Linked DNA regions of Callithrix jacchus. The protein of the gene in region 1 interacts with the protein of each later gene in a pairwise test. Links are inferred from orthologs where the notes say so. Each region holds a gene or a part of one and is shown in the gene's direction. Other genes may lie near its edges.

The links.
Region 2: the proteins of RUNDC3A (region 1) and CCNL2 interact in binary tests that used the Homo sapiens proteins (3 or more experiments, as listed by UniProt). The two-hybrid records come from large-scale screens. The link is inferred for Callithrix jacchus from reciprocal best matches to the Homo sapiens genes RUNDC3A and CCNL2.
Region 3: the proteins of RUNDC3A (region 1) and AP1M1 interact in binary tests that used the Homo sapiens proteins (3 or more experiments, as listed by UniProt). The two-hybrid records come from large-scale screens. The link is inferred for Callithrix jacchus from reciprocal best matches to the Homo sapiens genes RUNDC3A and AP1M1.
Region 4: the proteins of RUNDC3A (region 1) and RAP2B interact in binary tests that used the Homo sapiens proteins (3 or more experiments, as listed by UniProt). The two-hybrid records come from large-scale screens. The link is inferred for Callithrix jacchus from reciprocal best matches to the Homo sapiens genes RUNDC3A and RAP2B.
Region 5: the proteins of RUNDC3A (region 1) and MAGEB4 interact in binary tests that used the Homo sapiens proteins (3 or more experiments, as listed by UniProt). The two-hybrid records come from large-scale screens. The link is inferred for Callithrix jacchus from reciprocal best matches to the Homo sapiens genes RUNDC3A and MAGEB4.
Region 6: the proteins of RUNDC3A (region 1) and EIF3E interact in binary tests that used the Homo sapiens proteins (3 or more experiments, as listed by UniProt). The two-hybrid records come from large-scale screens. The link is inferred for Callithrix jacchus from reciprocal best matches to the Homo sapiens genes RUNDC3A and EIF3E.
Region 7: the proteins of RUNDC3A (region 1) and SDCBP interact in binary tests that used the Homo sapiens proteins (3 or more experiments, as listed by UniProt). The two-hybrid records come from large-scale screens. The link is inferred for Callithrix jacchus from reciprocal best matches to the Homo sapiens genes RUNDC3A and SDCBP.

What each region holds. Positions count from the first base shown.
Region 1 is NC_133506.1:71,152,684-71,156,646, forward strand, and holds part of RUNDC3A (RUN domain-containing protein 3A), read left to right. Parts: intron 1-1,055; exon of another isoform or gene 1,056-1,341; coding exon of another isoform or gene 1,342-1,352; coding exon 1,353-1,468; intron 1,469-1,821; coding exon 1,822-1,970; intron 1,971-2,134; coding exon 2,135-2,220; intron 2,221-3,129; coding exon 3,130-3,219; intron 3,220-3,323; coding exon 3,324-3,404; intron 3,405-3,549; coding exon 3,550-3,715; intron 3,716-3,847; coding exon 3,848-3,963. UniProt on the Homo sapiens protein: May act as an effector of RAP2A in neuronal cells.
Region 2 is NC_133508.1:39,584,536-39,589,153, reverse strand, and holds the start of CCNL2 (cyclin-L2), read left to right. Parts: upstream 1-1,490; 5' UTR 1,491-1,510; coding exon 1,511-1,789; intron 1,790-2,119; coding exon 2,120-2,194; intron 2,195-2,375; exon of another isoform or gene 2,376-2,434; coding exon of another isoform or gene 2,435-2,449; coding exon 2,450-2,559; intron 2,560-4,618. UniProt on the Homo sapiens protein: Involved in pre-mRNA splicing. May induce cell death, possibly by acting on the transcription and RNA processing of apoptosis-related factors.
Region 3 is NC_133523.1:14,819,210-14,823,631, forward strand, and holds the start of AP1M1 (AP-1 complex subunit mu-1), read left to right. Parts: upstream 1-1,437; 5' UTR 1,438-1,538; coding exon 1,539-1,580; intron 1,581-4,422. UniProt on the Homo sapiens protein: Subunit of clathrin-associated adaptor protein complex 1 that plays a role in protein sorting in the trans-Golgi network (TGN) and endosomes.
Region 4 is NC_133518.1:32,250,450-32,254,886, reverse strand, and holds RAP2B (ras-related protein Rap-2b), read left to right. Parts: upstream 1-1,596; 5' UTR 1,597-2,037; coding exon 2,038-2,589; 3' UTR 2,590-4,061; downstream 4,062-4,437. UniProt on the Homo sapiens protein: Small GTP-binding protein which cycles between a GDP-bound inactive and a GTP-bound active form. Involved in EGFR and CHRM3 signaling pathways through stimulation of PLCE1.
Region 5 is NC_133524.1:31,134,475-31,138,308, forward strand, and holds MAGEB4 (melanoma-associated antigen B4), read left to right. Parts: upstream 1-1,542; 5' UTR 1,543-1,678; coding exon 1,679-2,719; 3' UTR 2,720-3,272; downstream 3,273-3,834.
Region 6 is NC_133517.1:88,597,560-88,602,283, forward strand, and holds the start of EIF3E (eukaryotic translation initiation factor 3 subunit E), read left to right. Parts: upstream 1-1,800; 5' UTR 1,801-1,897; intron 1,898-4,724. UniProt on the Homo sapiens protein: Component of the eukaryotic translation initiation factor 3 (eIF-3) complex, which is required for several steps in the initiation of protein synthesis.
Region 7 is NC_133517.1:14,818,495-14,822,457, forward strand, and holds part of SDCBP (syntenin-1), read left to right. Parts: intron 1-1,377; coding exon 1,378-1,539; intron 1,540-3,321; coding exon 3,322-3,497; intron 3,498-3,963. UniProt on the Homo sapiens protein: Multifunctional adapter protein involved in diverse array of functions including trafficking of transmembrane proteins, neuro and immunomodulation, exosome biogenesis, and tumorigenesis.

The sequences.
Region 1 (3,963 bases):
CAGAGGTCAGTGCTCAGGGGCTGGAGATTGCAGAGTAGAGGACGAAGGGCAGTGGAGCAGGGGCTGCTCCAGGCCTTGGTGATCATGACAGCTGCCAGGAGGCCACAGATGTAGCAGAAAGAGCAGGGGCTTCAGAATCAGAATTAGACATACTTGCTTGAGTCCTCATAAGCCATGTGACTCTGAACAGATCAGTCAACCTCTTGGACTGTCAGTTTCTTTACCTGTACAATGGGGATGAGAGTGATAATAACGGGACCTACCTCTCAGGGCTGTGGTGAGCATGGGCAAGGTAATGCATGCAAAGTACTGTGCTTGGCATATTATAGGGCTTGATAAATATAAGAAGAAAAAGACATTTCCAAGCAGCTCCCATATCCCTGGACACCCCACCCCTGCTCTGCCACCCACAATAGGGAAATCATGGGATGTTAGAAACTGTCCTCTTCCCTGCCCCACTCCACTGCAGGGATGGCAGGTGGAGATTGCAGGGGTAGCAACTGCAGAGGGAGCCTGAGGTTTAGACAGGATTGGAGAAGGGGGCGCTGCATGGCTTCGGTCCTTCAGCCCCACAGGCTTCCCTTGGCTCCTTTCTCCCTGAGAAGCCAGGCCACCAAGCCCCTTCCAGGGATCTGCTGCCAGTGCCCCCTCCTGCCCAGTGTCTGTGTCAGGCCCACGCCCTGCACCTCCCTGCCCTGCCCCCGCCCAGCTCTGCACTGCCTGGTTCTGGGCAGCTGGTGTGTGGGAGGCCAAGCTGGGAAGGAAAAGGGGGAAGGGGGTATCTGTGTGCTGGGAGCCCACCTGGCCACGTGCGCACGCCCACACTCCACGTGCACAGTGCCAACTCACATGCCCTGGCACAGGTGACCCCATCCCCAAAAGGGACTGAAGGTTGTTCCAACAATCACAGAAGACAGCTCAGGGTGGGGCACACACTGGCTTCTAACATGTAGTTGGCCCTGGCCTCGAACACACAGACTCTGAAGGGCAGTCCAGGGGGAAGGGTCTCGGGGACTGCTCCCAGCTTGTGGCACCTCATCTTCCTATTTTTTCAGCCCCTCTCACCCCTTGCTCCTGAAGCTTCCTTTCTCTGGCTGTCACCTCTCCTTTCACTCATTTTGTCAATCAGTCTCCCACCTGTCACCCTCCCTCCCCACCAGCCACCCTCTCACTCCATATGACCCAGTACCTCTGTGGTCACTGTAGCCTCACCTGTCTCCCCGCACTCTCTGCCCACCCCCACATCCATGCCCTTCCTGACCTCTGCTCTGCCGGTGTTCCCTTCCTCTGCTTCCATCGCCTGTCTCCTCACCTGACATCCCACTGCCCCATCTCCCCACCATGCCACCCAGGTTCTCTGTGAAAACACTGCTGGAGAAGTACACAGCGGAGCCCATCGATGACTCATCAGAGGAGTTTGTCAATTTTGCAGCCATTTTAGAGCAGATCCTCAGCCACCGCTTCAAAGGTGGGCCCAGGTTCCCTCCCGCCATGGTCCAGCCCTCCCAACTCCCAGCGTTTATCTCCCAGCTGCCCCACTCTGATATACTCCATGGACTCTGAACCCTCTGATTGACCCTGGCCCCCACCTGGGCCATGCAGAGAAGCTCGTGTACAGATCTGGGAAGAGGGAGAGGCCTTTGGCCTATAATCCCCTTCAGTGGGCAAGCTATGTGCTGGGGTGCCCGCTGCATGTATGCATGTGAGTGCACATACCTTTGTCGGGGGAAGCTGCTTATACTTATGCATGGGAGACCCCCGATACACAGACCCTCTCCAAACTCCCTGGTCTTGCTGAGTCCCCTCCCTGCCCTGGCTCAGCCTGTGCCCCAGCAGGTCCAGTGAGCTGGTTCAGCTCAGATGGGCAGCGGGGCTTCTGGGACTATATCCGGCTGGCCTGCAGCAAAGTGCCCAACAACTGTGTGAGCAGCATCGAGAACATGGAGAACATCAGCACAGCCCGGGCCAAGGTGAGGGGCCTGGAGCAGGCAGCTGCTCTCTGCTCTGGACACAGGGGGCCTGCCTGATTCTTGGTCCTCACCCCCTGTCCACAGCCCAGGGTAGAAGGGCCACACCTGATGCTGGATACATGAGTCCCTCTGGGGCAGCAAGTAAAGGTGAACATACTTTCCAGGGCCGGGCATGGATCCGGGTGGCACTGATGGAGAAACGCATGTCAGAATACATCACCACGGCTCTGCGGGACACCCGTACCACCAGGTCAGACTTCCCAGGCAGCTCGGACCACAGGTCTCAGGGTGCATCTGCATTGCCCAAACACAGCTGATCCTTAAGTTCTTGCAGCATCCTTCAGTTCCTGGACTGCAAGTCCCAGCAGCAGCCTGTACAGCTGATTTCCCCCTTCCAGGCTGGCCTGCAGTCCCAGGGCAAACTACTCACCACCACCATCACTTGCAAGTCAAATCTGATGCCCATTATCCACCATCCTTGCCCAGCACACTCCACCCTGGCATGCCTCTGGATTAGCCTCAGCCATGAGCCATCACATGTGCTGGCTTGCTCCATGACCTACAACACAACCCTTCTGGCTCTCCAAACAATGGCAGCAGTTCCGTACTTGCCATCCACAGACACGGAGTCCCTGCGCAGGGAGTTCAACTCCTGCACTGCGGGTTCGAAGGGAGGTTGGCTGCCTGAGGCAGGGGGTTACAAGGTGAAATGTGCCTGTGTGTCCAGGTGCATCTGAAGCTGGGTATGGTGAGGGGCATGTACCTCCCCCTCCCAACTAGCCACACTCAGCCTGATGTTTTTGCTGCATTTGATTCCTCAGTCTACACATTTCAGGGCTCAAGTCAACACGTTTTTTTTAGGCACCTACTATATACCAAACACTAAGATTAAGACTCACTTCCAGATGTGAAGAATCTGGGTAACCCAGTACTTGATGAGGAAAGGGTAGCTCAGGGGGAGGAGTGGACTCAGGGAACACCCATTCTAGGTGATGGGGCCACGGTTCGAGCCCTAGGCTGAGGGGCGAGAGAGGCTCCAGGCCTGCAGGGTGATCAGGAAGGAGAATCAGCTTTCCTTCAAGAGGGGGTGGCAGTAAGCCAACAACAGCAACTTGAGGGGGCTCCAGCGCCTGCTGCACCATCCTCTGCCTTCCCACAGACGGTTCTATGACTCTGGAGCCATCATGCTTCGGGACGAAGCCACCATCCTCACAGGAATGCTGATCGGACTCAGCGCAATCGACTTCAGGTGGGGTCTGCCTGGCTGCGGTGGAGGAGGGGGCTGTTTTCCCCGCAAATCTCCTACCCCAACCCTTCATACCCACCCCCAATCCTGTGGCTCCTCTGCCCCAGCTTCTGTCTAAAGGGGGAAGTCCTGGACGGGAAGACCCCCGTGGTTATCGATTACACACCTTACCTAAAGTTCACACAGAGGTGAGCGGCTCCACGACTGCGGCGGGGCGGGGACCGGCCCCCAGGGACTTCCTGGGGACGTCCTGGTCCCACCGCCCTCGGGGGCCAGCGCGGACGCGCGGGGGGAGGGGAGGGACCGCCCGTGCCCACTGTTCCCTCCCCCAAGCTACGACTACCTGACCGATGAGGAGGAGCGGCACAGCGCCGAGAGCAGTACGAGCGAGGACAACTCGCCCGAGCACCCGTACCTGCCGCTCGTCACCGACGAGGACAGCTGGTACAGCAAGTGGCACAAGATGGAGCAGAAGTTCCGCATCGTCTACGCGCAGAAGGTTCGCGACACCCGCGGGCCTTGGGGGGGGGGTGGGCGGGGCGGGGGAGCCTGGCATCCCAGGGCGGGGCGGGGACGGGGGCCGCGGCCGGGATGTCCTCCCCGCCGCCCGAGCTGAGTCGGCGCTTCGCAGGGCTACTTGGAAGAGCTGGTGCGTCTGCGCGAGTCGCAGCTGAAGGACCTGGAGGCGGAGAACCGGCGGCTGCAACTGCAGCTGGAGGAGGCGGCGGCGCAGAACCAGCGGGAGAA
Region 2 (4,618 bases), on another chromosome or scaffold:
CAGTAGGCGCTCTGGTGCCATGGTCCTGTTCCCAGGCAGCTCCAGGGCTTGGGCCTGATTGGCTGCAGGCACTACCACCTCCCACTCCTCTGGCAGTCACAGCTGAGGAAATGGGCATGCAGCACCAACAAGAAACCAGCTGTGTGGTGAGGTTTCCTGCAGTGTGTAGCTATAACACACAAGACTGCCAGCTTGGGGAAAGAGGACATGGGTGAAGCTGTAACCATATCCTGTTGCCCATGGCAGACGGTGAGGAGAGTGGGTCTTGGTTGGTACTGTTTGAGCTGCAGTGTCAAGTCATGGCAGAGCTAGTGGACAGCTGGACCTGGGGGCGGGGTGAGGGGCAATGGTGGCCTCTGGATTTCAGCCCGTGTAAACTGAGCAGTCATTCAATTCTAAATCTTCTGAAAAAAAACAAAACGGTGCAGTCACTGGCAGGTCGGTGTGAACTCACACTCGGGCCTCTGCTGACCCCCACTCTTCCTCCTGCCCCACACTTCCCTGCCCAGTGCAGGCTTCCCCACCATCTTCATCCGGGGTCCTGTACTAGTCCTGGCGAAGGTTTGGGTAACCGCAGCAACAGATACCTCCTGCATCTGCTCCTCCTGTACAGCGGTGATCTACCCCAGGAGCGCCGCAGGTGGTGAAAACCCGTGAACCCATGGCGGGCAGTGCGTGAGATCGCCTGGGGGAGGATCAGCGGTGTCACGAACTCCTTCACTGTCTCCCAGCCGTTTTTGGGGTTCTGTCCAAGCTCCTTCAGACGGAGCGCACCGCACCTCGCTCCCCGGACTCCTTCCTTGGGCCTGCACCTTGAGGTACTTGGGCCTCCCCACGCTGGAAGGGACGTCGAGGCCACGTTTCTAGTCATCCTCCACCCATCTCTCCCCAAGGGCTGAGTTTTGAAGGCAAGACTTTGAGGGAGTCTGGCGTTAACAGGCATCTCCAAAGCCTGGAGTCGGGAAGAACTGGAGACACGATGCCCGCGACGGCCGGCGAACATCAGGCACGCGAGACTCATTCAGGGCGAGGCCGAGTGGAGCTTCTGACCAAGCCCGCACCCAGGGGATAGCGGTGGGGTCGTCCCACCCCAGATCCCGCCGACATGGACCCCCTTGACCCATAGGACTTCCGAGACGCACGCTTCCGCGATCATGGATCTCCGGTCGAACGTGGGCGGCTTCGAAGAAGCCCCGCCTCGCTCGGGGCGCCCGGGCAGGCGCTCTCAACCAGGCACCCGCGTCTCCGCTCGGGGCAGACGTACTTCCGGGTCGGCCGGCACCGCGGAGTACCCTGGGTAACGAGCCCGCCCTCAGATCTGAGCCAGGTTCCGGCGACGGCGTTAGGCGCGTTACTGACGGGTATGTGGAGTAGCCAATTGCCGCTAGGCTACGTCACTCTGCCCGCAGGCCGAACCAATGGTATGAGACGGGGTGGGGCGGTGGCAGCAGGAGAGCGCCGCGAGGAGCCGCCCTGCGGGAAGAAGTCGTAGGGGAGTCGGCAGCACAAAATGGCGGCGGCGGCTGGGGCTGTGGGGTCGGCAGCTCCTGCGGCCGCGGCCGGCGTCCCGGGCTCTTGGGGCGCAGTCCCCGGGTCGCAAGGTGTGCTGATTGGGGACCGGCTATACTCCGGGGTGCTCATCACCTTGGAAAACTGCCTCCTACCTGACGACAAGCTCCGCTTCACGCCGTCCATGTCAAGCGGCCTCGACACCGACACGGAGACCGACCTCCGTGTGGTAGGCTGCGAGCTCATCCAGGCGGCCGGCATCCTGCTCCGTCTGCCTCAGGTGAGGGTGCGGCCGCGAGCCTCGGGCCTCGGGCCCAGGTAACCGCCCGGGCAGCGGCCGCCCTTTGTTGGCAAGAGTGGGTCCCGCGCCGCCCGCATCCAGGCCCCGGCCCCGGCCCTGGTGCCAATCCCAAGCCCGCCCCTGCCCCTGACCCGGGGCCTTCCCTCTTGCGCTGGACCCCGAGACGGCGGGAGGCAAAGAACATTTGTGGACCTGGGGAACGTTTCAGTGTTTGCTTCTGAATGGGGAGTCCCACGTTACTCTATGACTTTTGGCTGCGAAGGCTTTGGACCGTGCGTTTGAAAATACAGAAACTTTCCTCCACTCTAGGTGGCCATGGCTACCGGGCAAGTGTTGTTCCAGCGGTTCTTCTACACCAAGTCCTTCGTGAAGCATTCCATGGAGGTAAGGGCCCCTCCCGCGCTTCATTCCCAGCGGAATATGTTGAGGGGAAGCGGCTTTTGTTTGCCCGGTTACTCGGGAGGGAGTGCCCGCTCCCCAGTCTGAGCTCTGGGCCGGAGAGTTCTGTTTCTGAGAGTTCTGTTGCTCGGCTTCTTTTCCCCTGGGTGCATTTTGGTCTGAATAGCCCTCAAGCCTTTGGCCTGTCAGGATGCGGTGGCTGGGGACAAACATGGGTGTATTGCGATGCTTCCGCTTCAGCATGTGTCAATGGCCTGTGTTCACCTGGCTTCCAAGATAGAAGAGGCTCCAAGACGCATACGGGACGTCATCAATGTGTTTCACCGTCTCCGACAGCTGAGAGAGAAAAAGTGAGTCAGTTAGCGCTGTCCAGTTGATCTTTGTCTGCGTTTTTTTCTGGTTAAATTATGCTAACATTTCTATAACAAAGTACAGGCCTGAGGTTTTAAACCTGGGGGATGTTCCTGAGTGCATTTTCAAGTTCCTCGAACAGGGCCTGCTTAGAGGCGTCAGCAGGTGCTGTTGAGCGTGAGGGCAGGGGCTCCAGTGAGGACGGGGCACTGTGGCCCATGGCCCTGGTGCTGGCTTCCTGCTTTACCTGTGTCGGTGCACGACCCTGTTGCTGCTTGTTTCCCATAAGTTTAGAGCAGGAATTCTTAATCTCAGCACTGTTAACATTTAGGATGGATAATCCTTTATTTTTCCTTCTGAGACAGGGTGTCCCGCTGCCCAGGGTGGAATACAGTGGCATGATCATGGCTCACCGCAGCCTAAACCTCCTAGGCTCAAGAGTTTCTCCTGCCTTAGCCTCCTGAGTAGCTGGGGATGGGGTCTTGCTACGTTGTCCAGGCTGGTCTCAAATTCCTGGGCTTCAAGGATCTGCTGGCCTTAGCCTCCCAAGGCACTGGGATTACAGGCTGGGTAATCTTTATTTGTGGTGGGTTGTTCTGTCTGTTGCAGGATTCAGCAGCATCACTGGCCTCTACTCACTGGATGCCAGGAGTACTCCACCTTAGTTGTGATACCCAGAAATTCTCTCATACCAGGTGTGGTGGTTCATACCTGTAATCCCAGCACTTGGGAGGCTGATGCAGGAGGTTTGCTTGAGGCCAGGTGATTGAGGCTGCAGTGTTACCACTGCATTCTAGCTTGGATGATGGAGTGAGACTCTTGTCTCAAAAAAAAAACCCAAAAGTCTCTTGATGTTGCTTCATGGCCCTAGAATAGCAAAATTGCTCCAGTTGAGAAACACTGGCTCCAAACTTAGCAGTGTTTATGCTCCTGAAGTTAATGGAAGTTCTTTAGAAAACACGACCTCTGGCCGGGCAGTGGCTCACATCTGTAATCCAAGCACTTTGGGAGGCCAAGGCAGGTGCATCACCTGAGGTCAGGAGTTCAAGACCAGCCTGCCAACATGGTGAAACTGTGTCTACCAAAAATACAAAAAAAATTAGCTGGGCATGGTGCCTGTCATCTCAGCTACTCGGGAGGCTGAGGCAGGAGAATTGGTTGAACCCAAGGGGGAGGTTGCAGTGAGCCGAGATCGTGCCATTGCACTCCATCCTGTCAGAGAAGAGCAAAACTTCGTCTCAAAAGAGAAAAAACATGGCCTCATATTTAATTTTTGAGATCGAGTCTTGCTATGTTGCCCAAGCTGGAGTGCAGTGATGCGATCTTGGCTCACTGCAGCCTCTGCCTCCCGGGTTCAAGCAATTCTCCTGCCGCAGCCTCCCAAATAGTTGGGACTACAGGCTCATGCCACCTTGCCTGGCCATCTGTGTTTTTGTTTTTGAGACAGAGTCTCACTCTGTCACCCAGGCTGGAGTGCAGTGATGCAACCTTGGTGCTCTGAAACCTCTGCCACCCACCCCCGACTCCCTTCAAGTGATTCTCCTGCCTCAGCCTCCGAAGCAGGTGGCATTACAAGCACCTGCCACCACGCCTGGCTAATTTTTGTATTTTTTTTTTAGTAAAGACAGGATTTCACCATGTTGGACAGACTGGTCTCGAACTTCTGAGTTCAGGCAGTCCGCCTGGCTCGGCCTCCCAAAGTGCTGGGATTACAGGAGTGAGCCACCGCCCTGGCCCATCAGTATTTAAATAATGTCTTTTATTGGTTTACTGGTTATTTAACTATGAGTATGTATCCTTATATCTTGAGCCACACAAAGTGCTTTTAGCAGTGGTGCCATGAGATCCTAAAACTGTTACTGCGTTCAGTCTGTGCTTGCGCACCAGAAGCTGTTGATATGTAAGGAACAATGGGGAGGATCCTTGGGATGGGATAAGTAGGTTGGCACTGGGCTGTGAAGAATGTTGTGCAGTCTTGTTAGGGGACGTGGACATTGCAACCATGTGTGTGTTAGGTTTTCATTAGGTGCTCACAGTTGGAGGTAATGATGGCATGTC
Region 3 (4,422 bases), on another chromosome or scaffold:
ATGTGGTGAAACCCTGTCTCTACTAAAAATACAAAAATTAGCCTGGCGTGGTGGCACATGCCTATAATCCCAGCTACTCGAGAGGCTGAGGCTGGAGAATTGCTTGAACCCAGGAGGCAGAGGCTGCAGTGAGCTGAGACCGCACCTTTGCACTCCAGCCTGGGTGGCAGAGAGAGACTCCGTCTCAAAAACAAACAAAAAAGCCTCTTGGCCACTTGTTCTGTGCCTTGTGCAAGAACCCTTCCAGCCCAGGAGTCACTTAGTAGTCTTCAAACATTCTACTTTGCTTTTCTAGAGTTTCGGTTACATTTCTTTTTTCTTTTTCATTTTTTTTTTCTTTTTTGAGATAGAGTTTCGCTCTTGTTGGCCAGGCTAGAGTGCAATGGTGCAATCTTGGCTCACCCTGACCTCTGCCTCCTGGGTTCAAGCGATTCTTCTGCCTCGGCCTCCCAAGTAGCTGGGATTACAGGCATGCGCCACCACGCCCAGCTAATTTTGTATTTTTATTAGAGACAGGGTTTCAGTATGTTGGCCAGGCTGGTCTTGAACTCCCGACCTCAGGTGATCCGTGTGCCTCAGCCTCCCAAAGTGCTGGGATTCACATTTCTATCCTAAGCAAAGTCTATATAATTACCGAGTTGCAAAAAATCATCTTTCCAAACTCCAAAACGGAGATAGGAGCGAATATAAAAGATATGAAAGAGGCAGGCATTCCTGGGTCAATCACTCCGATATTGTAGGGTTGGGATCCCCAGGGTACTATGATGGCTAATTGGAACAGAATGCAGACATTTCTCCAAAGCCCCATCATTCATAAAAGCAAATTAGATATGATTCAGTGGATTCATGAGGAGCCACCAGTTGCTTTACCGACTACTAACTTTGCAGAAATGAAACAAGGTACTTGTTTGGGTCAAGGTTCAATGAGGCTGGTTTTTACAACATTCCAGGCAATAAACAGGGACGCCCATTCATTGATAAATGTTGACACTGACAGGTGGTGACCGCTGATAAGGTTTGACTCCCATTCAGAAAGTTAGTTTGACCTCTTTCCAAGTAACCACGGCCTTACCCCTCCCTTTTGAGCTTATCATAATTGGTGATTGTACAGTTGTTTCATAGGCTTCCCCACCAGACTGTGAGCTCTATAGGGCTGGGCCCAAGATCGGTTCCATCACCAGGCTCTCTCGCCTAACTCGGCCCACGGGAGGCGGCTTCCAGCTGCTCTGGATCCATTGTTCAGCTGGCAGCGGCCACCAGGTACCCTGATTTACTTGGCCCCGCCCTCCAAGGGCCTTACTTCCGGGATTCTTCAGACAAGAGCAAGAAACATGGTCACATTTGACGTCCCGCGCCTGCGCACGCTCCGTCTTGCGCCTGCGCATTCCTGACAACTCCCGGACCGGACATAACGGTCCCCGCGCGGCTCTCCGAACCGGAAGTGGAGGCGAGCTGTCGCGGGCCGCGCCCGGCCTCGCTCAACGCCCGGTAGTCGCTGCCGCCGCCCTTGGCCGCTGCGGAGGCTTCCTGCAGCCACCATGTCCGCCAGCGCCGTCTACGTGCTGGACCTGAAGGGCAAGGTACTGAGGGCTCCCCACCCTCCCCGTTGCCCGGCAACCGGCGGGGTCCTCCTCCCCGCGGGGATCCACCCTGTTGCTAGGTAACCGGCCTGTGAGCCACCCTGGTGTGACGCTAGGAGGGCGGGAGATTCACACCCTGTTTCTTTCTGGGTAATTGGGCGGGGGTCTGCAGTGCCTCTGCCCCGCTCTGTTGCTAGGTAACGCGGTGGGCTACCGCCACCGCATTGCCAGGTAACCGACTGCCGCGACCCCTACTATCAGGCGCAGGGACCAGGGGCTCTGGCCTCGGTGGAGGACCCGGAAGTGGGGCCGCAGCCGGCCCGGGAGCCAGGCAGGGCGTCCAGGGGATGCACGACCCTTGGCCAGGGGTGGCGAGGCGTGGCGGGGACTGGGTTCCCTCAAGCCAGTCCCGCCTTCTCAGGGCGTTGCAGCTTCTGTTTACCGTGCACTTTCTCTCAGTAGAAATTTCTCCACGTTCATTGTGATACTGACTTAAAAGGGTTAGGTGAGGTGGGTGGTGATCACAAGTGTCATTTTATAGAGGGAGAAACTGAGGCACGGAGAGGTGAAGCAGCCTGACCAAGGTCACACTGGTCACAGAGAAGTAGCAAGTCTAGGAGTCCGATCCAGAATCATTTGTTCATTCAGCTGATATCTAGGGAGCACTACTAATGCTGGGCAGGGTACTACCTGGGGTTGATTTGTGTTTAGCAAAAAACAGTCCCCCCTCTTTCTTTTCTTTTTTTTTTTGAGATAGTGTCAGTTGTCCAGTCTGGAGTGCAGTGGTGCAGTCTCCACTCACTGCAACCTCCACCTTCTGGGTTCAAGCAATTCTCCTGCCTCACCCTTCAGAGTAGCTGGGATTACAGGTGTCCACCACCACACCCAGCTAAATTTTATATTTTTAGTAGAGATGGGGTGTCATCATGTTGACGAGGCTGGTTGGTCTCGAACTCTTGACCTCAAGCGATTTATCTGTCTCGGCCTTCCAAGGTGCTGGGATTACAGGGATGAGTCACTGTGCTAGGGCTCAACAATCCATATTCTTATGGCATTCACAGACTGATGGGGAGATGGTTACCGATCTCCAAAAACACAAATAAATGTCAATTGCAGTGGTGGGGCAGGGTGAGTGTGTAATAGGGACAGTCAGTCTCAGCTAGAGAATGAGAGAGGGTTTCCCTGAGCAGAGGTGACAAATGGACCTGAGACACTAGCAAGCTGGACATAAACTAGAACCTGGGCATCTTCCCCAGAGGATCTAAGAAAATTTAAAGGCAGGATTGTCCCCGCATTTTTGAAATGGGCCTCTGCCTTCTCCCCAGTCCATCCCAGGTGCACGGCAAGTGGCTGCTTGGCCTATTGTGTGTGGAAGCAACAAGAACCAGTCCAACAATGTTAGCCCAACATTGATCAGTGAGAGAAACAAACGTGGGTGTCAGGTCCTAGGTGAGAGGTGGGCAAGAGTGAGCTCTGAAGCCGCTGGGAGTGAAGAGGTGAAGTGGCTGCCACACCACCCCAGCACTTTCCTGAAGTCCCTTGAGTAGGTGCCTGCCCTGGAAGCACCCATAGTCAACACCTAGTGAGACCCAGTGCTGGCCTTCCTTCTCCCGCCTTCTTAGAGGCACGCCAGAGGCTGGGTGGGTGTGGTGTTCCCTGAGCCCTGGTGGCATGAGTCTTGCTTCTGCCCTGGCCACTGCCTCTCCAGCCGTGCCAGCAGGCTGCCTGTCTTGGCTTGCTTATGCCTTCAGCAAACATTTCATGAGCACCTAGCATGCACCCCGTCCTGTGCCAGGCATAGGGTATCCATTGGCACCATGGATGTTGGTGTTAGGGCTGAGCTGAAAACCCGTCTCTGCTGCTCAGCTGGGACAAGCCTCTTCTCTCTGAGCCTCGCTTTTCTCACTGGTCAAAAGAGGCTTTTTTTTTTGGACGGAGTTTCGGTCTTGTCGCCCAGGGAGCGCAATGGTGCAATCTCAGCTCACTGCAACCTTCGCCTCTCAGGTTTAAGTGATTCTCCTGCCTCAGCCCCCCAAGTAGCTGGGATTACAGGCACCGTCACCACACTCAGCTAATTTTTTGTATTTTTAGTAGAGAGAGGGTTTCTCCATGTTGGCCAAGCTGGTCTCGAACTCCTGACCTCAGGTGATCTATCCACGTTGGCCTCCCAAAGTGATGGGATTATAGATGTGAGCCACTGCGCCTGGCCAAAAGAGGCTTTTATGGACTTACTGTGCAGATTTGCTGAGCAGATGCATGAGACAGGCTCAGCACCACTCCTGGTCCATGTTAGCCTTCCCAGGCCTCTCTGTCTAGCAGGGGAGTCACCTCCAGGCAGCCACAGGGGCAGGACCAAGGTCCTAAGTACTGCAGTTGCTCAACCTTATCTTTAGCCAGTGGACGGCGGAGGTGGTTACAAAAGGCCCCCTGGAACAGGGCGATGCTGGAGGGGGTTTGGACGGTGACCACGTCAGGTGGAAAAGAGGCATTGCAAGGGACACAAGAGGCAGCCGCTGGGGCTGCCAAGCCAGAAGTCCTGACTAATGCTGAGCTGGGAGAGAGAGCCCATGGGGACCACTTCAGTTCCAAGAAGGAGCAGCCACTGTGAGGAGACCGTAGCCCAGAGAGGCATGATCAGACCTGCCCTTCAGGAAGCTCCCCAAGGCAGTTGTGGGCTTCCCTCCCTTCCTCTGCAACCAAGACGCCCTTTCTTATTCCACAACCCACGGACCTCATGTTTCCAAAGTCAGCCTTGTGAGCCCACTGCATTTCATCAAAAATAAAGCACATTGAGAAATCCATGGCCACGTGTCTGGTTATCAGGGACATTGGCATGGCTGCA
Region 4 (4,437 bases), on another chromosome or scaffold:
GAAACCAGAAAGCAGTGACATCGGGTTAAAAAGAAAAAAAAAAAAATAGGCAGGACTGGGAGCCAGCGCTGACGCAGCTCCGCCGCCACCCTCCCCACCCCGCACCCGCGGTGTGCGCCGCCGCGCTCAGCCTGCAGACAGGTCTTGACATCCCTCCCCGTCGAGGAGCTAGGGAGACTCCGGACAAGTCGGGGCATCTCCCTCGCACCTCCCGGGAGCGCCTGCCCAGCCAAGTCTAGCAATTGCCCGGCCCGCCAGCGGAGACGCTTCCTCTGAGGCAAGCCTGGACACTCCCCAACCCCTCTGGGTGAAACGAATTCCAAGTGGCCCATTTCAGCTCCTCGCCCCTCCCACTTCCAGCAAAAAAACTTGGCAACTCTGCGGTCCCTTGCGGACCAAAACCTGTAATTAGCCCTTTGTGCTCCCTGTAAGGGGCAGTCCTGACTGGAAAGTGAGGAGTCAGACTCTCTCGAAAACACCAACAAAGAACTATATTTAGTTCTGAGCTCTCCGCCTAAATGCCTCTTACTTTTTCACTTTTACTTCAAAACGCCAGGGTTGGGGAAGTGGGAGGCAGGGGGCGGAGGAGCAGCGGAGAAAGAACAGCTGTGCCTTTGCCTCTCCGCTCAATCTCTAAAAATAACCAATCGCAAGCGGAGGCTACTTTTTAGCCAATGAAGCGGCCCAAACTGACAGAGCCTTGGCGGCAGCCAATGAGCAACACATAGGAGTGTGAGACTCGCGCCCCGGGACCAATGAGTGCGGAGTCTCGGAGAGGTAATTTGAGCTACAGTGTGGGTGTGTGGTGCAAAAGCTTCCTACTTCCAAGCCCCAAAACCCGCTCCGCGACTGAGCATGCCCTGAACTGTGGGGGCCACGAGACTTCTGGATTGGGGTGTGATCCGGTCTCCGGGTTTTGACCGCAGCCGAGCAGGGAGATGGGTAGGACCCGAGGGACCCTGCTCCCGGAGAGCTGCAGGTACCACAAGCTACCCTTTGCCTAGTCGGGGTAGTATTTGAGGCCTGGAGTACCTCCCGTTTTCTTTGTCCAAGGCTGCAGTGCACAGAGAAGGCAGAGTAGCGTTTCTGTGGCGAACGGTTTAGAAAAATCTGTGGGGCAGGGACGCTCCGCCGGCTGCGCGTGCATTCCACGGCACCCACAAGCCTTCGGGTTTCCGGCCCCCAGACACGCCCGCCCGGGGCTGGGTGAATGGCGTCCCTGGGCCTTTGATAACGGGAGTTGGCAGAAGCACAGCCTACTCCATCCCTGAGGCGGCCCGCGGCGCCCACATGCTTCTCGCAGAGCCGCCGCCCTTGTGCACCACTCCCATAGCTGTAAAAGAAAGCGGCCTGCTTGCTCCTTATGCACTTTCCTCGCCCCCTTGTTCGCACACACACCCCATCTCCTAGCCAGTTCCTAGACTCGCGCCGCTCCCAAAACAGGACCCAAATCCGGAGCCCCGCCCACGGCCCCGCGGAAAACCAGGAGCGGCCGCTCGGGCAAGGCGCGGTCGGAACGCACTGGGCATGCTCGCCGGGGCGGGGAGGGCCGGGTTGCGCGCGGCGAATAGGAAGCCCTCGCCCAGCAGAGGCTGCGGGAGAGAGCGCGATGGGCCGCGGTGGTGGGCGCACGTTCCGTGGGGACTCATGCCACGCGCGTCCCGGCCCGACGCGCAATTAGCAGCCACCTCCGCAGCCAGCCGCCACCGCCTCACCGCCCTCCCGGGCTGCTGCAGCGAGGAGCTTCTGCCGTCGCCTCGCGCAGGCTGCGGGCATTGTCCTCCCGGTTCGCTGCCCGGGCTGCTGCTGCTGCCGCCGCGGACTGCTGCGGGGCCCGGACCCGCGCCCCAGGGACACGCCGCCGCCGGCCGGCCCGGCGCCCGGCCCCCGCTCGGTGGTTTCTGCCTTGCGTTCTTCTCTGGGCTACTCTCTCCTGGGTTTTTCCTGTGGAGCTGAGGAAGGGGAAAAGAAGTCCAGCAGCCAAGCCCAGCCTTCCCCGGCGCGCAGCCCCGTCGGGGCCGGAGCGCTGACGGAGCCATGAGAGAGTACAAAGTGGTGGTGCTGGGCTCGGGCGGCGTGGGCAAGTCCGCGCTCACGGTGCAGTTCGTGACGGGCTCCTTCATCGAGAAGTACGACCCGACCATCGAGGACTTCTACCGCAAGGAGATTGAGGTGGACTCGTCGCCGTCGGTGCTGGAGATCCTGGACACGGCGGGCACCGAGCAGTTCGCATCTATGCGGGACCTGTACATCAAGAACGGCCAGGGCTTCATCCTGGTCTACAGTCTCGTCAACCAGCAGAGCTTCCAGGACATCAAGCCCATGCGGGACCAGATCATCCGCGTGAAGCGGTACGAGCGCGTGCCCATGATCCTGGTGGGCAACAAGGTGGACCTGGAGGGCGAGCGCGAGGTCTCGTACGGCGAGGGCAAGGCCCTGGCTGAGGAGTGGAGCTGCCCCTTCATGGAGACGTCGGCCAAAAACAAAGCCTCGGTAGACGAGCTGTTTGCGGAGATCGTGCGGCAGATGAACTACGCGGCGCAGCCCAACGGCGATGAGGGCTGCTGCTCGGCCTGCGTGATCCTCTGAGGCGGCTGCCGCGCGCCGGCCGCGCTCTGCGCACAAAAGCCAAACGCATCCGACTCTCTAAATGTGATTTCTTTCTTGCTTTGAGATTGGAGACCACTTTGCATTGGGCAGGGTTTCTTGGGAGCCCTGCTGGCCTCCGCGGCCGGCGGCCCCTGCCTCCACCCTGTGCTTGAGGGGGTGTCCCGTCCTTCCCAGCCGATACTCTGGTGGAAATGTGGCTCTTTGCAGCATGTACGTTTCTCCCTGATTTTGGTTGATGCATATTTCCCCGTTTAAGTAGCCGTTAGGGCGCAGTATCGGCAGCCTGACACTCACCAAGCAAAAGTTTCAGCCTGGGGGAAAAAAACCGGGGAGAGGTGTGGAGGAAAAGGAGGGGGAGAAGGTAGAAAGGGTTTTTCTTTTCTTTTTTCTTTTTTTGGTCAACAACCGTTTTTCTAGTTTCAAGTTTTAAATACATGGAAGGAAGTCCGGGAGAACCACATGAAGGAGCAGGAGAGGAAGAAACTTTTGTTTTTTCCTTGTTTTCCAGGAGTAGCTGGAAATTAAGATCGGGTTCCTTTTCTGCCAGCTTGGAAGGGCAACCCCATGACTGATTGCGATTCTGAGGATGTCTATGCAAAGTTGGATTCTTGTTACAGTGTATCCAATCTGAAGTATTGCACATCTGAACTGGGACTGTTAACACTGATGCCAATACAGTGTGGGGTGCCAGAAAGTGTCTGCTGATATTTGTGGAAAAAAAAAATCTATTTTGTTTACCTACTGTATCAAAGGGGAATCTGGGGGAGAACGGTAGTATTTTTTTTTAATCAGCTGTGAAAAAAATGTTACAGATCTGCACATTTTCGTGTGTACTATGGTATGTGTGTGGTGTGTGTGTGTGGTGTGTGTGTATGTGTATGAGTTTAGCCTTTTTGTTTTTGTTTTTTTGGTTGGCAGTAACCGATTTTAATGACTAGCTTTTTAAAATACAGTACAAAGACTTTGTAAATGTGATTCAGGGCCCCCAGCACCCCTGTGTCTGCAGAGTGCCTTCAAAACTCAGCTGTTCCAGCCGGTGCCAACCTGTGAACTTCCCACCATATCCCACAATCTGCTATTCCCCCAAACCACTTCCCAGTTTCCTTTCAGTAATCTTTCTGAAGGAGCCAGGACAATAGGGCCTGTTGTTTAGTGAATTTCTTTATTATTTTCAGCCTTTAAAATGTAATTTCCATCTTTTGCAATGAATTTGTTTTTTTTTTTTTTTTTTTGCTTCATTTTGTTTAAATTTTCAGGTATCTAGCTCCCCTTTTATATTATTTTTAATTTTTTTATTACCTGTTATAGGGTGTTCCTCCAGAAGCAAAGAGCAAAATTTTACTGTTGTGATGTACCAATTCTAACTAATTGTAATTTTTAATTTCATGCGTTTAATCATTGTCTCTTCATTTTAAGACTTTTAATACAAATGTCATTTTTAAAGAAACAAATCCAAAACTATTGTTTGTGTTTCTGTGTTTCATATTCAGTGATTAATACAGTATCATAGCTGAGGTGGATGGGGTAGGTGCAAGATACTCTCCAGAGCTATTTGTCAAATTTTGAAGACAGAAGTGTCTCAGTGATAAGTTGGATGACATTACTCCCAACTTCTTAAGTTTGGAGAAAATCATCAAGGTCAAGGAAGCCCTGGGTATGGCCATTCCCATCTGATTAGAAGATGAACAGGTATTTTGAATCTGATCTGACATGGAACAGTTTACCTCATTGTGGGTAGGGAACAAGAGAACTCAGCTATTAATATTGCCTTAGATCTGGGAAAGTAACCATCCATCTGGCAAAGTAGGATGGCACTTTTAATTTTTT
Region 5 (3,834 bases), on another chromosome or scaffold:
TTCACAGCAAAACTGAGCAGAAAGCACAGAGAGTTCCACAGGCATCCTGTCCTCCCAGGCACAGCCTCCCTCATATCAACCTCCCAACCCAGGGTAATACACTTGTTACAATTGAGCATACAGGGACACATCATTATCACCTTATCAATTTAAGACAGAATTGCTTTACTGCCTTAAAAGTTCTCTGTGCCTCATGTATTTATCTCTCACTCTTCCCAACCCTTGGAAACCACTCAACTTTGTACTGTTTCTACACTTTTGCCTTTTCCAGAATGTCTATAGATGGAATTATGCATTGTGTTGCCTTTTCACATTGGCTTCTTTCACTTTGTAATATGTAGTTAGGTTTCCTCCATGTCTCTTTGTGGCTTGATAGTTCTTTCCCTTTTAATACTGAATAATATTTTATACTCTTAATTTACCCACTCTCCTTCTGAAGGACATCTTGGCTGCTTTCCAGTTTAGGCAATTATAAATAAAGCTACTATAAATGTTTGTGTGCAGGTTATTTTGTGAACATTCTTTTCAACTCATTTGGCTAAATAACAAGAAGTGCAGTTACTAGATCATATGATAAGACTACACATAGTTTTGTAAGAAATTTATAAACTGTCTTCCAAAGTGGCTGTACCATTTCGCATGTCCACCAGCAATGACAGTGTGCTCCTATTGCTCCACATCCTCGTCGGTAGTTGGGGTTATCAGAGTTTTTGATTTTGACCATTCTTATAGGTATGGAGTGGTTTCACATTACTTTAATTTGCAAGTCCCTAATGACATGTGATGTTGTGCATCACTTCATGTACGTATTTACTTTCTGTATATATTATTGTTGAGATGCTCATTTATATCTTTTGCCCATTTTTAATAGGGTTGGTCCATTCTTATTGTTCAGTTTTAAGAATTTTTTGTATGTTTTGGTTAACAATCTTTTATCAGATATGTCTTTTGAAAATAAATTTTTCCCAATCTGGGAGTTGTCTTATTCTTTGTGGTATCTTTACCAGAGCAGAAGTTATAATTTAGTGAAGCCCAGATTATCAATTTTTTTTTCATAGATGCCCATCACATTTTATGTCAGAACTAGAAAAGGTGAAATTCTTGGTCTGAAGTCGCAGTTATTAGTCATCAGAAGAGACAGTCCACAACCCTGCATGGAGTCCAGATGAGGAAACTGAGTGCAAACTTGGGACCTGAGGATCCCAGGACAGAGAGCACTAAATGCTTCGAAGCAGGGGTGGTGGGTTGAGGTGCCCCTACATTTCCCTCATCTGGGTCCCATAGAAAGTTAAAGATTCTACTTCACAACACCAATAGAAGGAGGCTGAGGCCCTGCCAAGAGCTGACAGGATAATTCTAAAAGTAATCAGAGTGGATCCTTTCCAAGCCAGAACACAGAGAGAACCCAGTCAGCCCCCAGCAGGGTTGGCAAGCTGCAGCCTAAGGCACATTGTAACTTCCTCAGCTGAGTTCTCAGGGGACAGAATGACGAAGAACAATAGCCCAGTCAATACTTAGAGCAGTGTTCTCAAGGAATCCTGCAGAGACGGTTTCTGAAAAGCCAAGGTAGTATCTGCCTACTAAAGGTGTTCTCAGGATCTCAATCTCTCTTCTCCAGGCACCATATCACCTGCCCTTCTGGCTACTCTCCTACCTGTTGTGCCTAATCACAGCTATCATGCCTCGAGGTCAGAAGAGTAAGCTCCGTGCCCGTGAGAAACGCCAGCGGACCCGTGGTCAGACCCAGGATACCAAGGTTGCTCAGGCCACTGCAGCAGAGAAAGAAGAGTCTCATTCCTCTTCCTCATCTGTTTTGGGGGATATTCCCTCCAGCTCCCCTGCTGCTGGCATTCTGCAGAGGCCTCAGAGAGCACTACCCACCACTGGTGCTGCAGCTATGTCATGCACTGGATCTGATGAAAGTGACAAGAGCCAAGGTGAGGAAAAGGCAAGTTCCTTCCAGGCCTCAACATCCACTGAGAGCTCAATCAAAGATCCTATAACCAGGAAGACGAAGATGTTGGTGCAGTTCCTGCTGTACAAGTATAAAATGAAAGAGCCCACTACAAAGGCAGAAATGCTGAAGATCATCAGCAAAAAGTACAAGGAGCACTTCCCTGAGATCTTCAGCAGAGCCTCTCAGCGCATGGAGCTGGTCTTTGGCCTTTCCTTGAAGGAAGTCAACCCGACCAGTCACTCCTACACCATTGTCAGCTTGCTGAATCCCACCAACGATGGAAACGAGAGCAGTTCCTGGAAATATCCAAGGAATGGGCTTCTGATGCCTCTACTGAGTGTGATCTTCTTAAGTGGCAACTGTGCCAGTGAAGAGGAAATCTGGGAATTCCTGAATGTTTTGGGGATCTATGATGGTAAGAGGCATATCATCTTTGGGGATGCCCGAAAGCTTATCTCCCAAGATCTGGTGCAGGAAGAATATCTGGAGTACAAGCAGGTGCCCAACAGTGATCCCCCACGCTATCAATTCCTGTGGGGTCCAAGAGCCTATGCTGAAACCAGCAAGATGAAAGTCCTAGAGTTTTTGGCCAAGGTGAATGATACCATCCCCAGTAACTTCCCACTCCTTTATGAAGAGGCTTTGAGAGATGAAGAAGAGAAAGCCAAAGCCCGGCCCAGAGTTGCAGCCAGGCGTGGCACTACTGCCATGACTAGTGCACATTCAAGGGACACATCCAGCAGCTCTTCCCACCCCATGTGAGATCTAAGGCAAATTGTTCAATTTGTAGTTGAAAGACCTGCTGCCTTCTGCTGTTCCTGTGCTGCATGAATAACTCGGTGATATATCTCTTTGTTGAATTTTCCTGTGATGTTTCTTAAAATAGAAAGGTTATTTAAATTCAGAATATAAGCTTAGAAATGGCATGCATCACACACTTATTTCTGTTTATCAGGTTGGTTTAGTAATAAGAGTTTGGTTTTTGAAATACAAATAGAAAATCTGAAAATCGTTTTTGTGATACAGAGCAAAATAACATGGCGTTGGAGTAAGGTTATTTTTAGAAATTTAAAATAACGCCACAGTAAAATAGAAGAATCTGAAGACAGAAAGAGAAGAAAAGCAAAAGTTGCTTTATTTTTGATTTATCTTACTACTTTTAGTCTTTTGTTGTTCATAAATTTGAAAGTTACATACCTGGTTTGCTTAGATTATTTAAGAATGTGGAGGCTTCGGCCAAGGTCAATGACAGTGTCCCCATTGTCTTCCCTCTATTAAGAGAAGACTTTGAGAGATGAGGGAGACAGTGTTGCAACTGCTCCTGGCATGTTCCAGTGTGATGTCCAACAGTGTCATCCACTCCTTGTGAAGTCTGAGGTATATTCTTTACTTTTAATTAAAGAAAATATTAACCTTCTAATTAATAGAGGGCCAAAGAGGAGTTGGTGGGAACATCATATATAATATATTTGTATGTAAAATGATTTATCTTTTCATTTTCCTGTTTTTCAGTGTTCTTTCTTTTAATTGTAGAATTATTTAGTTTCAGAATCTAAGTTTATGAATGGCATGAAAAACTCATTTATTAAAATATGTCAGGTTGAAGAACAAGAACTTTTGCATTATGTAAAACAATTTAAAATCTTTAAATCTTTTTCTGTGATCTAGAACAAGACAATATGACATTAGAATACAGAATTTGTGAAAAGGAAATTACCTAGCAATAAAGTTGGTGGGATCATGAAATAGAGAAAAAAAAGTAAAATGTGGTCAATTCTTGCTTTGTTTTATTCCTTTTAGTCTTTCTTTGTAAAACTGAAGTATATGTATCTGGATTGGGTTAGCTTTCTCAGGAATGTGGGAGAAATTAAATAGCA
Region 6 (4,724 bases), on another chromosome or scaffold:
GTTTACAAAGCACTTTAAAATGTTTTCTCTTCCGTTCCTACAAACTTGTGTGGTAGCTATTATTTATTATTCCAAAATAATTACATCAATCCTCTTCAGAATTCTCACAGGGTAAGTTTAAGGTCCAAGTTACTCAGTTAAATCACCTTGTCTGTTGGTAGTACATAACTACTAGTCCCTCAAGATTTTATATATGCTACTAACATCTAGGAAAGCTATACTAAACATACCTTCATGATTGTACTTTCTAAAAATTATGTACTTAAAACATTTTTTAAAAGCATTAAAAGTAACAGCCATTTATCCATCATCCAGCTTACGGAATATACGCTGAAAATAGCCATTTATCCATCATCCAGCTTACGGAATATACGCTGACACAAGTCTTTTAAAACTATGTGTTTATAGCTTTTCTCCATAGATTGTGAATTCCATGAAAGTAGGGACTGTGTGTTGATAGATCCAAGATTTTGCACTAAGAAATTAACACTGTTGTTTAATACAATGGAATCCCTCAATTCAGGTAGAAATACTGAGGTTCATAATATGCTAGAGGCCACAAAGCCAATAAATAATTTAACCCAGTTCAAGTACAAAGGAATTTTGCTTTATTTCTTAAGAGTTTACAACTTTATAATACCTGATAAATTTATTCACGATAAAACCGAAAAAATAACTTTCAGTACACATATTTTCAGGTCATTATTAAAGCATCCCACAAAAGCATTTGCTGAACAAATTAGCTATGGAAGTCTCCTGTATTATGCTAAATGCTGGGAATATGAATTCCAATCACACAGATTCCATGCCTTAACGAAACTCAAGTTTCTTAAGCACACAGAATTGATCCAAGGTTTGGCTGTTTCCAGATTTAAAGAACATATCCCACTCTAGATCGACTAATAGGTAAAAATGTCCATCACACATGAGCACGTACATGGCCCAGAATTAATAAATTATTTTTCCCTTCAGAAAAAAAAAAAATTGCTAGTAGGGAGTACGAAGGAAGTTGTGCTGTGTGTGCAAATGTGTTTTGAAAAGGAGTGGGACAGAGACTAGCCTGAAAGGAAAAGAAACTGGAAAACCGGGTTTAAGGAGAAAACTAAATGTAGAGTGGCATATGAGAATCACAGTTGTTAAAGCATCTTCTACAACAGCTTTTCTGCACAGAGCTGTAATCCTTACATAGCACTTAGTAAAAGGCCTTACAGACCCTGTGTTTCTCGACGCCAAAGAAGCTTCAGTAACCACGTATTCCGCTTCCTCCGCACCGCCCAGCAACCACAGTTAGTGTGTGACAACCCTAGCCCCAAGTCCCTTCCGCCTCATAAATGGAAGCGGCCCTGGCCGCTGGACTGGCGCAGAGGAGGGCAGGTGAACCGATGAGACGACACTGTGGGAAACGCCATAGAGTACGCGCTCAGGCCAAGGAAGGGGTCAGCCTCAGCCTCCACCTCAGCTTGGCCCGTCCAGTGAGAGATGTGGTATCAAAAAAAGACCAGAAACCCCAGCTCCCCGAAGGCAGCGGGTAGTCCCAAACGGCTTCCTAGCACTTAAAAGCGCTGGTAACTTCCGCACCCGCCCCCATCCGAAGTTACCTTCCCAAGTGACATCGTAAAGCTCTGAGACCTTCGCCATCTTCCCAAGAACCTAGAGGCAGCGGGGTGAGAGGGCGGGGAGCCGCAGTCACGTGACTCGCGACCGGGCAGGGGCGATTTACGTAACTGGTTCTCATTGGCCAAGAGAGCAGAGGGGCGGTATTCGCTACGCACGTGCACGCAGCTCTGCGGAGGGGCTTTCGGGGAAGGGGGCGGAGCGAGCTGGGTGGTGCGCCGCGGTCCCGGAATCTGAGGCTTCTTTGGGTGCTGGCGGGGCGGAGGTGCTGACTCTGGGTGAGGTGTGTGTTTTTGTATTTGTTTTGCCGTGGATTTTTTTTAACAAATGCTGGGTTTTTAGTGTCCGCCAATCCTAGCTTTTCATTTTTTTCTGCCTAGGCGTGTTCATTCTCTTCACACTCCCCAATCAACAATTTATTCTCTTCAGGGCTGGCCGTGGTGCAGTCTTTTGCACGAATCCTTTACTAATCGCCAACTTTCCTCCTTCTTTAATGGGATTTGCTTTCCGTTCACTTTTTAATCGACTAAACGGATACTCTAAAGTTTTTATTAAATCTCTTCGAGGGACTAAGTGGGATTCTTTGCGCTTTGAAGTTCCCTTGAATACCCTTGGGCTAGCCTGTACCCTTCGTTTACGCTTGTCGTGCCTGTCATTGCTTCATCCATGTCTGCATGCCACACTAGGTTTGAAACTGTAGCGAGTATGTAAGTACTTACAAGAAATGAATGTACGAATAAGACCTTTACAGTTCCTGAACTTCGCTCCTCTTTTCTCCTGGTGGGTGGATGGGGGAGCCTCCTTTCCCACCAGACTAATTGCTTTTAGGGACCTTTGGACGTCGTCTCCTAGAGCTAAGGAGAAATGTCTGGACAGTAAGCAAAATATTTGAAGATGATAAGCATATATTTAGTATTTGGAGCAATGAGAACCTGAGATTGTAGAGGAGGAATATGTAAGCTGAGGAAAGACTAAAAATCACTGCAATGCCGCCATAGTTATGGGTCAGTGAAGAAGGGGCAGTAAAGGTTGAGAAGTAGAAATAATCCTATCCCACAAGTCAAAACAGTGGAGGGGTTTTATTCCCAGCTTTATTGAGGTATAATGGACAGAAATTGTGTATATTTAAGGTATAGGAAGTAATGATTAGATGTAAATATATATTGTGAAATGATTACCACAACCAAGCTAATCAACACATCCATCACCGTACCTGTTTCCCGTGTGTATGTGTTGAGAATACTTAATCTCTCAGCAAACTTCAAAGTATACAATACAAAATTATTATAGTCACTATAATGTACATTTGATCTCCAGAACATATTCACCTTACAACCAAAAGTTTGTACCCTTTGACCAACATCTCTCCATTCCTCTCCTCTCAGCTCCTGTCAACCACAGAGGGTTTTTTTGTTTGTTTAAAAAAAGAAAAGCAATAACCGTCAGGCCATCTATTCCAGAGAAGTCACGTAATGACAGAAAAGACTAGTGAAGTTTTATACTTGGATTGAATTCTGAGTGAGCTGGCATTCTTTCTAAACAGACTTAAAAAATCTTTCATTCAGGAAGTTAAAAAATGCTCCACCCAGAAATTCACGTATTCTAATTCTTCAATAAAGCAACATGGTGCAATGGGAAGAAAGAGAACTCCCAGATCTGATTCCAGGTTCTACCTTTTAGTAGCTGGGTGACTTTCAGCTTGTATGTCTCTCTCAGCATCAAAGAGGCTTATATGTGAAAAGCTAATAATATCTGTTGAAAAAGAAAATAGCTACCTTGAGTTGTTCATCAACATGAAAGCAGATACTGCAGCTAAAACCCCTGCGTGGCACTCTCATGGAGGTACCCTCCTGTATCTAGAAACACTGTTTATGTGCTAATCAGTCCCAAATTGATCAATCTTCTCAAAACCCACTCTGCTTGCTTGACATACTTGCTTAGATGGCTAGTTGATATGCATCTCAAAGTTAACATAGCCCGCACAGAACTCTGGATTCCTGCTGTCACCTTCTGCATTCCCACCTTGCTTTTCCCCATCATAGGTAAGGAAACCATTTACCTACTTGCACAAGTTAAAATTATAGGAAGTACCTTTGATTCCTTTTTTTGACACCCCCCCATATCCAGTCTATCAGCAAATTCTACATTGCACTTCATCTGCTTTTCATTTCTATTGCTGTTACCTTAATCTAAGCCACAACTTGTCTCTTCTGAATGATTGTGATAGTCTCCTAACCACCTTGGTTTCATTCTTGCTATGTAAAATCAGTTTTTTTATACAACAACGCTACTGGTCTTAAAAGAAAAATCAGACTACAGAAGTCCCTTGCTGATAGGCCTCAAATGGCTCCCCATGGCAATAAAAATATACTTCAAACACTTTACCATGGTTTAAAAGGCTTTACTCAGCCAGGTGACATTCATCTACCTCTTACCTCATCTCCTACTATTCTGTCTCTCCTTTCTAGCCCCCAGCCATTCTCATCTACTTACTAGTCCTCAAACAGGCCAAGCCCCTATCTGTCTTGTATCTGGCATTTGCCCACCTGCTTCCTTTTCCTAGAATGCTCTTCTCCACATCTTTTAGTGACCATCTTCCTTTCACCATTCATATCTCAGTTTTAAATGTATCCACTCATAGCCCTTTTTTGACCATCCAATAAAAAGTAGCTCTTATATAATGCCTATTCATCTTCATGACATTTATCACTATTTGATTTCTTGTATGTTTACTTGCTTACTTTCCGTATTTTACACCACTTTAAGCTGCTTTGGAGTACCAACTTTATTATTTTAACCTTGGAATATCCATGCTAGGAAAATACCTGAAACAGTAAAAATGTTTGTTGAATGAATGAATTAGATTAAAAATGACAGCTTGTATTAATATTTATTAAGGATAACATTTCTTAATAGTATACATATGAACTCTTGTTTAGTTAAGCATAGGATGTTTTCTTTTTATAGCTAATACTTTCCTAAAACTTATAAATTCAGTGAATTCAGGGACCATGCCAATTTTTTTTTTTTTTTTTTTTTCGGGTAGGCCCTGCCAGGGTGCCCCGGGTGGGACTACTCTGTGCCAGCTCCTCCCCCGGGTGCCCAGAGTC
Region 7 (3,963 bases), on another chromosome or scaffold:
TTGTGTCTGAATCTCCAGGGTTCCTCAGTGCACCATTGCCTTTTCTTTTTCTTCTTTTTAATTTTAAATTACTTTAAGTTGTTGCTGGAGATTTCTGTTAACTCTCCACATCTAGTGAATTTTTCATTTCACATACTTTTTTTCTCTTGATGTTTCATCTGGATCTCCACCCCACCCCCAGCTTTATTGAGGTATAATTAACAAATAAAAATTGTTTATATTCAACTGTGTATTTCGGTACAACTTGATGTATCGATACACACACACACCGTGAAATCATTACCAGAGTCAAGGTTATTAATATATCTGTCACTTCACGTAGTTACCATTTCTTTTGGTGTGTGGTGAGAACACTTGGTACTCTCAGCAAATTTCAAGTATACAGTACAGTGTTATTAACTATAGTTACCATGCTGTACATTAGATCTCTAGAATGTACTGATAACTGAAAGTTTGTACACTTTGACCAACATTTCCCTTATTCTTTCCCCTGCCCACCCCAGCCCCTGACGTGGACAGGGGAAAGAATGAAGGTAACTCTACTTGTGTGAGTTTGACTCTTTTCAGATTCCATATATAAGTGAGATCTAGACAATACTTGTCTTTCTGTGTCTGGTTTATTTCACTTGACATAATATTCTCTAGGTTTATTCATGTGCCCAAATGTCAAGATTTCCTTTTTTTGATAGCCTGATATTATTCCATTTTCTTTTTGATTGGGGAAAGGTTCCACTTAAAATAAGAAACCAATTTTGGTCAGGAAAACTTGAAAAAAATTAGAAACTTGAAGCATGGTACCTGACACAGGTCCCTAATATAGGTATTCTGGGGCATTCTGGTTTATGCCTGTGATTTGTTAATCCATAGATGGTCATTAGAGGGGAGAAGACATAATGGTTGACTGTCTTACTTGTGCCAGGTCCATACACATACGCACTTTTCATTTAGCCTTCTCAGTAACACTGAGTAGGAAGGTTGTCCCTTTTTGGAAATTCTGAAAGGATAAGTAGATTGTCAGAGATCATGACATATAAAAGAATCCTCTGGAAAATGTGTTTCAAGCATGTGGCCTTTAAGTTCAAAGGTAATGCATTTGAGATGAAGACAAGCCAATGTACCAGTGAAACAAATGTCAGTGAATTCAAAAGGTAACAGAGAATCATTGAATCTATTAGAGATGATATATGTGGGAATAAGTTAATGAAGAATTAATAATGGAGCCAGTGCCATTTTCATAGACATAAAACTTTATCTGAAGGAAATTATTTGTGGATTGCTTTTTGGAAAGCCATAATTGAGTATGTTCCAGTTAATTATCATTGTTTTTTTCGAGGAGAGTGATTCTAAATATTTACACATCGTATATGGTTTTGTCAGCAGTTGGTAGCAAGACCTTCCAGTATGAACTATATGGTGGCTCCTGTAACTGGTAACGATGTTGGAATTCGTAGAGCAGAAATTAAGCAAGGGATTCGTGAAGTCATTTTGTGTAAGGATCAAGATGGAAAAATTGGTCTCAGGCTTAAATCAATAGATAATGTAAGTATTTTTAATACCTGTATAAGTGACTAATGTTAAAATAATTTGAAATGGAAATGCTTTAACTATGATGGTGTATCTATAGTTGAGAATATTTTAAATATACAAATTTTGTTCAATTGGGGATGTTCTCTTTTGCAGAGGCAGAGTTGGGACTTCTGACCACATTACTTTAAAAGACATTTTTCTTTTCTGAGTACTCTAACTGGAATACAGTTCACTGGCCTACATATATTATAATGTAGTTTGTATAGAATTGTGGCAATTAAATAGAGCAGATGTGAAGGTTAAGAAAAAACTGACCAATGAGAGTTGATGTCAACATGTGTGCATTTTTAAACCAATCAGTATTTGTGAGATGGTTTTTACTGTTATTTGAATTTAATATGTCATTTTCTGAGTAAAAGTTTTTTTCTAATTAGGGCAGCTATTACTTGACTTTATGATTACTTTACCTCTCACTTTACCATACTGAAGATATGAAACTCTCAGGAACCATTTAGAATTGTTAAGGACATGCTGAGTCTTTACCCCGATTTATAGTTTTAGCCATTACCTCACTGGATTCAGTTTCAGTCATACATCTCTAGCGTAGTGCACTGCTGTAAATGGAGAAGCCTGATCTTGGCAGGAAGCCCCAACCCCACCTGCCCACCCAGGGGGCTGAGGCCATTGATGGCCTTGTTCACTTATATCTTATTCAGAATACATCTGCGTGCTTGGTTGGGATGCTCTGACTTTGGTGCCCTTTCTGCTTTTCTCTTCAGGGAATACAGTATATTGCTGCCCCTTATGCCAGGATTGCTCTTGTGTTCTTTCCTCTGTCCTAAAGAGAAAAGATACTTTTCACAGACCCCTTGGCCCCACTGTAGGTAACACTTGGAGTGGATTTGTTCACTTGGCCAAGCGCGTTGGTTCATTTATGGGGCGCTGCCTAATTCTTGCTTATCCCTCTACAGTGTAACAGACGTGTGATAGAAATGTCTTACCTCGTTTGGGATTGTAGGAAGGGTCTAGCCTTGTAGATGCTCTTATATTCTACCTGTCTTATTCTTCTTTTATACTTATCTATTTATATTTTGTTCAATTTCTGATAGAGATTTTACATAAGTAACTTTATCCATATAAGTGTAGTTACTGGTTAACAGTACTAGAGTTTTCTATATTTATTTCATAGTGTGTTCTTTACAAGCCTGTGCATGTAGATTTAATATGCCCATCTTTTTAGGCTATCAAATAAACTTTAATCTTACCTGATTTTATACAATGTAACAAATGGGTAAAGGAACACTTCAGCTCAAAAGGTACAATTATGACCTTAAACTGTCATTTATTAAGCTGTAAAAGAACTCACCAAACTTTCTAACATGTGACTTGCTTGTCCCCTAAATATGACTGATGATGTAGTGATAATTTGGTATTCTATGAGACTCATAGATGCTTGCATTTATTAAAGTTGTCCTTTATTTTCCTTATGTATTCCAAGTTGAAAGTGGTGGGGGTTGTGGTTGGTCAGGTGGGTTATGATTTGGTATAGAAATTGCCATTGAAATCTCACTTTTCTGCTTTCTTCTTTGGAGTTACTGCCTTGATAAATGTTTCGGTTTCTTTTGAGGTGATAACTTGATATATTACACTCATATAGTTTTTTCTGTTTTTTCTTTCTTTTGTCACAGGGTAGATTTTTTTTTTTAACATAAACAGTTGTTTCCTAATTTTCCAGCATTTTAGAACCATACCATAATAGAGGTTAATGACAAAACTTATTTTCTTATTATCTAGGGTATATTTGTTCAGCTAGTCCAGGCTAATTCTCCAGCCTCATTGGTTGGTCTGAGATTTGGGGACCAAGTACTCCAGATCAATGGTGAAAACTGTGCAGGGTGGAGCTCTGATAAAGCGCACAAGGTGCTCAAACAGGCCTTTGGCGAGAAGATTACCATGACCATTCGTGACAGGTAAGCTGTTACTAAACAGTTCAAATTCAACTTCAAGACTAGTTTTCCATTTTGGGAGCTTTCAGAGTCTGTGAATGTATTATTTTGTTGCAGAAAATGATCAAATGTTATGATGAGCCTTATAGTCTTGCAGTTGTGTGGTGCAGATTTGTCTTACATCGTTTGTTTTTAAAGCATTCTGATATGATACCTTATTTCAGAGTTTATAGGACCAATCTCTCTAGAAAATAAAAAAAATGTATGTTGGAGAAGTAACTTGAGTAGCAAGGCATCTCTGTGCTCACTTTCCAACTTACTGCTTAGATAGATCCAGCCTAGGATGTTCACACACAGTGCTGGTCCCTCACTGTGAGGGTCAGAGCCCATGCAAACTTCCAAGTAGTGTGGGAGTTCTGAAAGCCCTGTCAAAACTTGTGGGTAGTTTCGAACTAGTAGTTTTCAAGAACATGGAGTATTCTATTTAGCA